2 linked regions of the Nothobranchius furzeri genome follow. The protein of the gene in region 1 binds, or shares a complex with, the protein of each later gene. Links are inferred from orthologs where the notes say so. Each region holds a gene or a part of one and is shown in the gene's direction. Other genes may lie near its edges.

Evidence for each region.
Region 2: the proteins of gle1 (region 1) and nup42 are in contact, whole or in part, in a crystal structure (PDB 6B4I), measured with the Homo sapiens proteins. The link is inferred for Nothobranchius furzeri from reciprocal best matches to the Homo sapiens genes GLE1 and NUP42. Residues at the interface, in NP_001003722.1 of Homo sapiens: Ile385, Ile593, Leu598, Asn599, Trp602, Arg603, Ala606, Gln607, Leu609, Asn610, Gln636, Tyr637, Gln638, Val639, Gln640, Lys643, Met644, Ile646, Leu647, Glu650, Asp651, Tyr652; in NP_001357375.1 of Homo sapiens: Asp185, Asn186, Val187, Leu188, Phe189, Gln202, Phe203, Gln204, Ser205, Lys206, Lys207, Phe208, Leu210, Gly211, Lys212, Ile213, Pro214, Leu215, Lys216, Pro217, Pro218, Leu222, Leu223, Asn224, Val225.

The regions. Positions count from the first base shown.
Region 1 is NC_091750.1:38,709,470-38,713,952, reverse strand, and holds the start of gle1 (mRNA export factor GLE1), read left to right. Parts: upstream 1-1,560; 5' UTR 1,561-1,668; coding exon 1,669-1,767; intron 1,768-2,191; coding exon 2,192-2,410; intron 2,411-2,522; coding exon 2,523-2,684; intron 2,685-4,483. UniProt on the Homo sapiens protein: Required for the export of mRNAs containing poly(A) tails from the nucleus into the cytoplasm. May be involved in the terminal step of the mRNA transport through the nuclear pore complex (NPC).
Region 2 is NC_091751.1:29,849,008-29,853,432, forward strand, and holds the start of nup42 (nucleoporin NUP42), read left to right. Parts: upstream 1-1,433; 5' UTR 1,434-1,554; coding exon 1,555-1,702; intron 1,703-2,058; exon of another isoform or gene 2,059-2,181; coding exon of another isoform or gene 2,182-2,191; intron 2,192-2,414; coding exon 2,415-2,688; intron 2,689-2,772; coding exon 2,773-2,861; intron 2,862-2,938; coding exon 2,939-3,015; intron 3,016-3,115; coding exon 3,116-3,202; intron 3,203-3,284; coding exon 3,285-3,387; intron 3,388-4,278; coding exon 4,279-4,425.

The DNA.
Region 1 (4,483 bases):
GCTTTTGACCAAGGAGAGAGCATCTCAGTCCAAAGCGTTGGAGCTGCAGAGCCAGCTGAGCCGAGCCAACACAGACCTGAGTCAGCTACAGAGAAGCAAGGAAGAGGCAGGTCTCCCACCAACACATGTGCTCCATTAGAGACAGCGAAGAATAAACTAAATGTTTTATTTGTTCCAGATGGAGCGTCGCTTTAAGACTCAGCTGCAGAACTTAAAAGAAAGGCTGGAGCGGTCCGACTCTACCAACCGCAGCCTCCAGAACTACGTTCATTTTCTCAAAACCTCCTATGGAAACGTTTTTGGTGATTCTTTTATTGGAAGTTGATGCGTTGTCATTTTTACCAAAACATTGCTAGATCTAAATTAACATCAAAAATTCATGAATTTTACTAATTAAACATTTTATAAAATAGTTTTGTCTGACATTTTTATTCCCAGAACTCCAGTGGTGATTTTTCTGAATGGATCTCAGAACTTCTGCTGCAGATTTTTAAGGGAAAATCCTTTTTTTTTCAGTACTTGAGATTAAACATTTCAGAGTTACATCTGATATTTATTCATATTTAGCCATTTCTCGGTAAACCTTATAATTTAATTGACAACTTATTGCTTTATACAAAGTTTAAAAATCACTCAGCATTTCTTTAGAGTAAAAGATTTATTTTTTTCTCTCCATTATTGTTCTAGATTTATAAATGTAACGTTGCAAAACAAATGAAACCAAAAACAAATGAAATGATGTAAAAGATATCATTCTATATACTATTATATAGAATTATATATTTAAAGAGCAAGTCACCCCCTACAAGCAACTTACTTCACTCCCTTTTCATGTTTGAAAAATGCAACAAATGCTGTTGCCTAGCAGACCGAGAAGGCATTGTGACATCATAATGTACCAGTTTACATCATAGCATACCTCTTAGCCAATAGCGGTGGCAGATTTAAATTCAAATGCAGTGCAGAGATTTTACCTGACAACGGCGCAACACTGAGTTTTAGGCAGAATATTTAAATTTTATTTAAGATGCACTGAAGTACCAAATTATTGATGACACGTGTCTGCAACACAATTAGACACACATTTATACAGTTTATCAGCAAAAAAAAGTTGATTTGGGGGTGACTTGCTCTTTAAATTCCCATCTCACGTGGTCTCTTCCTATGCTCGGGTCCTCCACCAGAGGCCTGGGAGCTTGAGGGTTCTGCAGTTTCGTGTTTTTCTGGGATCTGCTTTAGCCACTCCTCAAGTCTGGGGTAAGGGTTAGGGTTTGATGACCACCTATGTCTTCACTCTCCAGGCTTGCTCAAGTTCTTCTTCGAGGTCCTGGTGCTTCTCTGGTTTCTCGTGTTCTTTTTCCCTGATGTTGTATCACAGACATTTAATTAAAAATATAAATATCTATATATAAAAACTTGGTATTGCCACTTAAACCACAACGCCAATTGTAGGAGAGCCCGTCTAGCCAGTCAGACGAAAAAGGCGGGACCTTCCTTGGACCTTCCCAACAGCGCGGCCGGGCAGGGGCAAAGGTGAAAGTGCCAAAGCGGAACCATAACCCACGGAAGACTGTTTCCTGGCGGACTGTTTTTAATGTAACCTCTTCGTTGATTCCACCACCCACCGCATTTGTTCCTCTTTTTTTTTAAATTATAGCTTGTTTCAGGATGCCTTCCGAAAGTTTACGATGGGAAACTTTAGAGGCGTTAAAAAATTCTCCCAAAGGAAAAGTGGTGTTTGACCCTCGCTGGTCGGAACGGGGCGAGGTAAGAAGTTAGCTAGCGGCTAGCGCTAGTTTAGGTCAGTTCAGTTCGTTTTATTTCAAACATAAACATTCACCAACATTTCATAAAATCATTCCATGCAGTTGTTTGACAAGGCTGTTTAGCTAACAGAACCAGAACTTAGCCTTTCTTCCGAACTCTCGGTGCAATTCACCAGAAAACAAACACAATATAACACGCTAAAGCAAAAAATGCAGAATAATAATCAGCACAAAAAGAGACAATGACAGTAGTGTGAAAATAAAGATATATACAAACGGTTAAATCTCTCCGAATCTTAACTGATTTAATGACTGTTTGCTTATGGAATAAAGGTCATTTATCAGTTTAGGGGATGGTTTACTTGGATTCAGAAGTTGTTTTATCTAGTCTAGCTGTGGGTTTGACCTGTGTCGTGTTCTTGTAGCATATTTTAGCTGGATGTACAGAGACCCTCGGGTTATCGTCACACGCCAGGGTCATACTGGAGCGGATCGATCCAGTGTCCCTACAGAAGTCCTCCTTCCTGGATCAGAGAATCACAGCAGAAGAAACTCCAGCCTCAGGTTCCTCTACAAGCTCCGTCAACGATCTCAAACACCGCATCCTCTCTTCAGCTCTTTCGCTAAACCATGATTACGACCAGGTACAGCACTTTGAATGTAAACTGCTCTGACTGGGATGTTTGTCTCTGCTGGAGAATCTTTGGATGAGCTTTTGTGAATACTTTGTCACCATCTCAACTTGATGTGCTGCAGACTGTTTGTGATGAGGTGCAGAGTGAAAGTCCAGAGGCAGATGACGTCAGTGACGTTTCCAATCCCGTGCCATTGCCTGTCATGTCCCTGCTGTCTCCTAAAGCCATGGAGACCGCCGGATGCATCATCCTGTTTGAAGAAGGGCAGCGGAAAAAGGCAAAGGTCAGGCAGAGATTCCTTTATTCTGCATCTTGGATATTTGTGGTCATAGAAGGTTTTTTAAAACCACAAACAACTATTTGCTTTGAGGATTTGTACAACCCCCACATACAAACAATTACAATATTTAAAGGGGCATTATGGAAGTGTGACAGCCAAAACATGTATAGAAATAATACATTCTCCTGCAATGCCCTGGTCCTGTAGAATGAGCCCTGGCATTTTTACTGTGATTGCCTGTTTTTCTGTAAAATCACAGAAAAAGAGAGATGCTCGGGTCGAGCAGGCTGCTTCATGCACGTTCACGCTCAGGCATAGCCCGTAGCATTTGCTATCCGGAGCTTTAGCAGCAGAGAGAGAGGCAGTGCCACTTTGTCGCTGTTCCTAACTCCTAGTGACAAAGCTAGCTACATTTCTGAGGACCCTTAGCTACTTTCTGTAGAACTTTCTTGTAGATGTTTCCTGCAAATTAGCAACAAAATAGCCATTTTCGCTCCGAACCGTTCTTTGAACGTTGTTTCAGCTGTCATCAAGGATATAAATGTTACAGACACGAAAGACATTACTGGCGTTTTAGCTCACCTAGTTAAACGTTGGACTCTCATGCAGAAGATCCGAGTTTGATTCTGGATGTGAACATAGTTCATTTAGATTTTCTTTTTTACATTAATGGTATATTTTCTTACAGTAAGATGGCCAAATTTTTATTTGAGACTCGCCGAACGGCATTGAATTCACAAATAAAAAAGATGTGGGTTCAACTTTTATTCAGGAACAATTTTTCAAGCAAGGGAAGGGAATGATCTGAGCATGCAGGAGGACTGACCCATCATAAACCTTTGTCGGCTGTGCTAAAGAGAAAGGTACAGAACCACATTATTTAATTAATTAGCTGCGTGTTCTCCTGTCCTCTGTCCTCCGGGCCACACACACACACACACAAGGGACTGTCTCAGCTGTTATTTTCATTAAGGAGTGTGCACGTACAGCATGCGCGCCTCGTGCACGAGCCTACCATTGATGCTGCCGTTACGCTTTTGGCCTGAGGGGGCAATTGCGAGCATAAAAATTCAAAACTCCGTAAAGTCCCTTTAAACTAGCTGAATTGGTTTTACCTCACCAACCATTAATGACCGGATTCGAGCACGCGGTGCTGTATGTTTTACTCCAGGCATGTCGTGTGTCTCCAAAACTGCACATTTGTTTCGAGAAGCTTGCTGTCTTCTCTTGACTTAGTACTTTTAAACACCTGCTAGTAGGGATGTAAGAAAATATCGATATGGCAATACATCACAAAAATGTTTCCTGCGATATATCGATATTGAAAAACCGTGCATCAAGTTTTTGGAAGAATTTCCGTGCAAACGTTTGTGTACTATTTTCTTTTCTTTTGGTGCAGTTCAAATGACGACCGCTAGTTGGCAGCAGTGTGCAATGAGTTTTGTTTCCACCACTGAAATGTAAATCCCTCTGTGGTCAGATACCTCATGTATCTAAAATTCTCTTTACCCCCAAAGTATAAAGAAGTCCATTTTAAAACCTTGAATGATATTTACCCATCTAACCATTTTATGCAAACTAGATTTAAGTTCAATGTGGAAAAATGTTACTTATGCAAACAAAACGATGAATCGACCAAACATCTATTCTTTGAATGTGATAAAATTCTAATCATGTGGAATTCACTCGAGGATTGGCTGAACTCCAATCAAATTTATATAAACAATTTCACAGTTGAAGATATCTTATTTGGCATTATACTAAAAGATAAAAAGAATGAATTTCTAATTAATAATCTCATA
Region 2 (4,425 bases), on another chromosome or scaffold:
CTCCTGATTTTGATACTATTGTTGTCACTGCTATTGTTTTTCTGATGTTTTTATTGGTTTGAGGTATTTGCCCTGATTTTACTCATGTTGTACAGCGCTTTGTGATTTATATCTGTGAAAGGAGCTATATAAATAAACTTTACTTACTTACTTACAAAACTGGTTTATTTACATTTACCACCAGCAGCTAAATGTAGCACTTATCAGAAATAAATACTAAACTACTAATATTATTTTTACATTAAAATTATAATATTATCACTAATTAAAAAGGAAAAAAAGATGAGCCTTTGTTCCCTAACCCCCTCCCACTAGAAGAAACTCGACACGTCTCAACCATAGATATGTATATACAGTAAAATAAAGTATTTATTATTTATTTATTTATTTATTTTTAAATAGGGTTATTAATCAACAAAACATGGCACATTACAATATTCCATTCTTAACTGGAAATACAAGCAGACAAGATAAATAAAATGAGGAAAAGTAAATAAATAATAAACAAACATAATATAAATAAAATGCAAATTGAGTGAAATAGTCAAAATGAAAGTAAAACAACTGATAAAGTGCAAAACATCATTCAATAAATTTGCTAGGGTTTAGCATTTAGTTTGTATTTCTTCACAGAGTCATTCATAGTGTAGGCTTTGGAGCCTTTCATGAATTTCAAAGAGAAGTGATATACTAATTCTTTACGAAATGCAATGAAATTAGGGCAGGTTTTAGCATAACAACATTTGTGTATGTAAAAATTTCCAAGGATAATTATAACATTTAAAGCAATATAAATATTGTGCTTGGCTGTAAAACAACATATTAATATGTTTTCTTTAGAAAGTTTTGGTGGATTAGCCTCAAAGCCAACCAATTCTCTAATTCACTCTTTACAAATTCAGTCAGTGGTTTCTATGTCTGCATTACAAAATGAGCAGCCATTATGTTCCAAGTTAAATCGATGTCTCAAAAGCTCTCCAGATGGATAAATGCAATTAATAATTTTAAACTGCATCTCTTTTATCTTTGGATCAACTGGAAGCTTGAGAAAAAAAAGACTCCTTGCTTTTTTTCCACTTTCATAAGATTATAGGTGAGAAGCTGTTGGCTAAGAATGGATGCAGCTCTTGAATAAATAACTGTCTTATTACAATATTGGATAACATTTTGTCGGTAAAAGAACATCCATTAAGCATAAGTTCAGGGAGTTTTGGACTAATGTTATTGTGATGAAAATTGGAGGAGCTTGACAAGACAGGACTCAGAATTGCTTTAATAACCTTCTGATATTGTTCCTTGACAGTCAACTTGAATTTGGAGCTAAATGGTTCATGAGACAACAGATTTCCAGAGTAAATATGTATATAAACACTGTCAACCACGTCTCAACAAAATTGACCATGTGGGGTTGCTGTCGCCAAAAAGATGACGTTCCCAATACGTCATCGGTTTGCGACTTGGAGTATAAAGACGGAAAAAGTTTTCGTAAACATCAAGCCGTTTGGGGCATTTTGCCCACATTTTACACTCTTTTCACACTAATCCTGGTTCAGAATGGTCGTGTGTAACTTTTTCCTTCAGGGCCGGTGTCGTTATGGGGAGAAGTGTTGGAATGAGCACCCCAGAGGCGGAAACAGAGGAGGTTATAACGACAATTACAACCGCGCTCCTGACCAGCAACAGTCCAGACGACAAGGAGGAGGTAATTCTGTTTCACAGGCAACACTTTAAACCCCTTCATCACTTACAAGTGTTCAGTCGTGGTCCACACGTTTGTTTTTCCTTCCTACGTCACGCTGCTCTGTGACGTTTCACCTCGACCAGAAGCAAATGAAGGGAAAGGACTGGTCCAGACTTTGCTGTGGTTTGCATCAGATTTCCTTTTTAACTCTATTTTTGTGCATATTTTATAAACTCTTCTTCTTACTCCAGAGGAACTTTCTGGATAATATTCCTCAGCCTGACTTGTTGCTGACAGTTGCTCAGACACGTTGATCTGGAACAGTTTGTCTTGGAGGAGGTCTGACAGGACTGTATTGAAGGCAGAGCTGAAGTCCATGAACAGGATCCTGGCGTAGGTACCCGGGAAATCCATATGCTGCAGGATGAAGTGTAGAGCCATGCAGATGACATCATCTAGACCTGTTGGCTCTGCAGGCAAACTACAGGGAGTCCAGGAGGATGTTAAAATGTAAAAACCGTGAAATCAATACTAGTTGAAGTCTTGGATTTTAAAGGACCACCTGCTTCTGTCCTTTAGTACATTTTCTTACCCTCACAGTCTTAGAAACATGAAAACAATCACATTAAAGTTAATTTTAACCTGTTCAGCACTTTGGTCATCTAATAAAGGGAATCGGTAAGAAAGCTTTAGATTTCACAGCCACTAATTTCTTTCTGTATGCTGGTTCCAGGGTTTGGAAACAAAGTTTGGGTGAATCCTTCCCAACAACGAGGCGGCTACATCCAGCCTTCATCCTTCTCCCAGGAAAGGGATGACTGGGGTTTTCGGGGAGGAGGGGGGAGAAGAGAGAACCCGAAGAGCTCTGAATTCTCATTCTCCAATCAAAACCGATTCTCCGCCTTCAATTCTTCAAACACATTTGATAGGGGAGGAAGAGGAGTTGGAGGAGGAAGAGAAGAGGGAGGAGGAGGAAGAGTAGGAGATGAAGATGAGGATAAAAAACTGTGAGATTTTGTTTTTACTTGTTGTGATTTGAAAATCGATTTCTTCTTTGTCCTAAAACCGTGTGAATATTTCCCCCTCATCAGGGAGATGATTCAGACAGACATGGGTGTTTGGGAGAGTTCAAAGCAGTGGGGCTTCTCCTGTTACTCCTGCGCCAAGGCTTCCATATCTGGTCTGTAGCAGTAATGCGTCGCTCCAGCTGTTTTATAACAGCAGGACTGGTTTTAACGTGCATGTTTACGTCTGCAGGGTTCACAGATCTGTCTCCAGAGGAGCTCAGGTTGGAGTATTACACCGCCAGAGCCTCAGGGGATCTGCAGAGCTACGTGAGGAGAAATCCACTCACTGTTAATGCTTGTTGTTTGTTTTGATGCAAAAACATGGATTTTACACATTTATCTGTAATCTCCTGCTCTGTGTGTTTAGCTTAATGGCGTCAATCAGCTGCTGAGTCAGTGGAAGAGCCGAGTCCAGGAGCTGAAGGTCATGAGTCCCACCACGCGTTTAGCTTTGGTAAGACGCCGCTCTAACGCTCGCATGTCTGTTTACAGTCACCATTTGTGGTTTAATATTTATAATTTACATTTGTCTGCAGCTTGCAGAGTTGAATGGGAGCGCTCCTCAGCCGTCCTCCAGCGGCTTCGGTTCTGCAACATCGACCGGGTTCGGCTTTCCCACGTCCAGCTTTGAAAACAAAGGTTTGACTTTTCTGTTGGAGCTTTTCTTAAACGTGTGTTTCCTTAAAAAAAAAAAAAGTTCAGATCATCACCCACAACTCTCAACCTCGCCATCAAAACCAGTGTTTAGATGTAAGTTTGAGAACTGACATGAAGTGGCTGATTTCTAGCTTCAGGCACTCTTTTAATCTGGATTAAAATCAAGAACTATTGGATTTTCTAATAAAATGAAAAATAATAAGATGCTGAAAGAATCTCCTGTTGGTTTATGAATGTAAAACCAAAGGTAGGCCGGTTGGTGATGGCCTCACGACTCCTCTTATTATTATTATTAATACATTTTATTTAAAAGCACAAAGAGGCAGCTCGCGGGCCATGTGCGGCCCATTGAGGACCACTGTTTTACCAGCTGGTTGTTTCTAAGGGGTCTCAGAGCCCTATTGGGTGTTTATACAGGAATGAGATCGGACATGTATTTTGGTCCCATGCCGCTGAGTGATTTGTAAACTAGCAGGAGCACTTTGAAACCTATTCTGTAGTTTACTGGTAACCAGTGTAGGGATCTAAGGACAGGAGTGATGTGCTCCGTTCTCTTAGTTCTTTTAGAGACTTTCTTGTTCGTGAAAAGTTCATCAACTCTGCATCAGCTGAGGTATTCCTTAAATTTGAAGCAGGTAAGCGGTAGTCTAACGCTATTGGTTAGTTCTGGTCGGTGCTCAGTTTCCAATTGTACGGAGCTCTGCGGGGCTGGGGACGTGTTTATCAAAAAAAAAAGACGTATTGCTTACATTACATCACAGTACGCGATAAGATAAATACTTTTACGGATTTCTGAAAAACCATACATACTTTCTGAAAGTAGAAAACTCCAGAAAGCTACTTAAAGCTGATTCAGTTTTTCTGACTGTGCAGGATTCGATGCCCCGCCCCCCCCTCAGGCCAGCTCCTTCAGCTTTACAACTCCAACCAGCGGCTTTGGCTCCTCGGCTGCTCCCCTGTCATCCTCTACTGGCGTTGGTGGCACTCTGCCAGCTCCCACACAGCCTCCTTCTGGGTTTG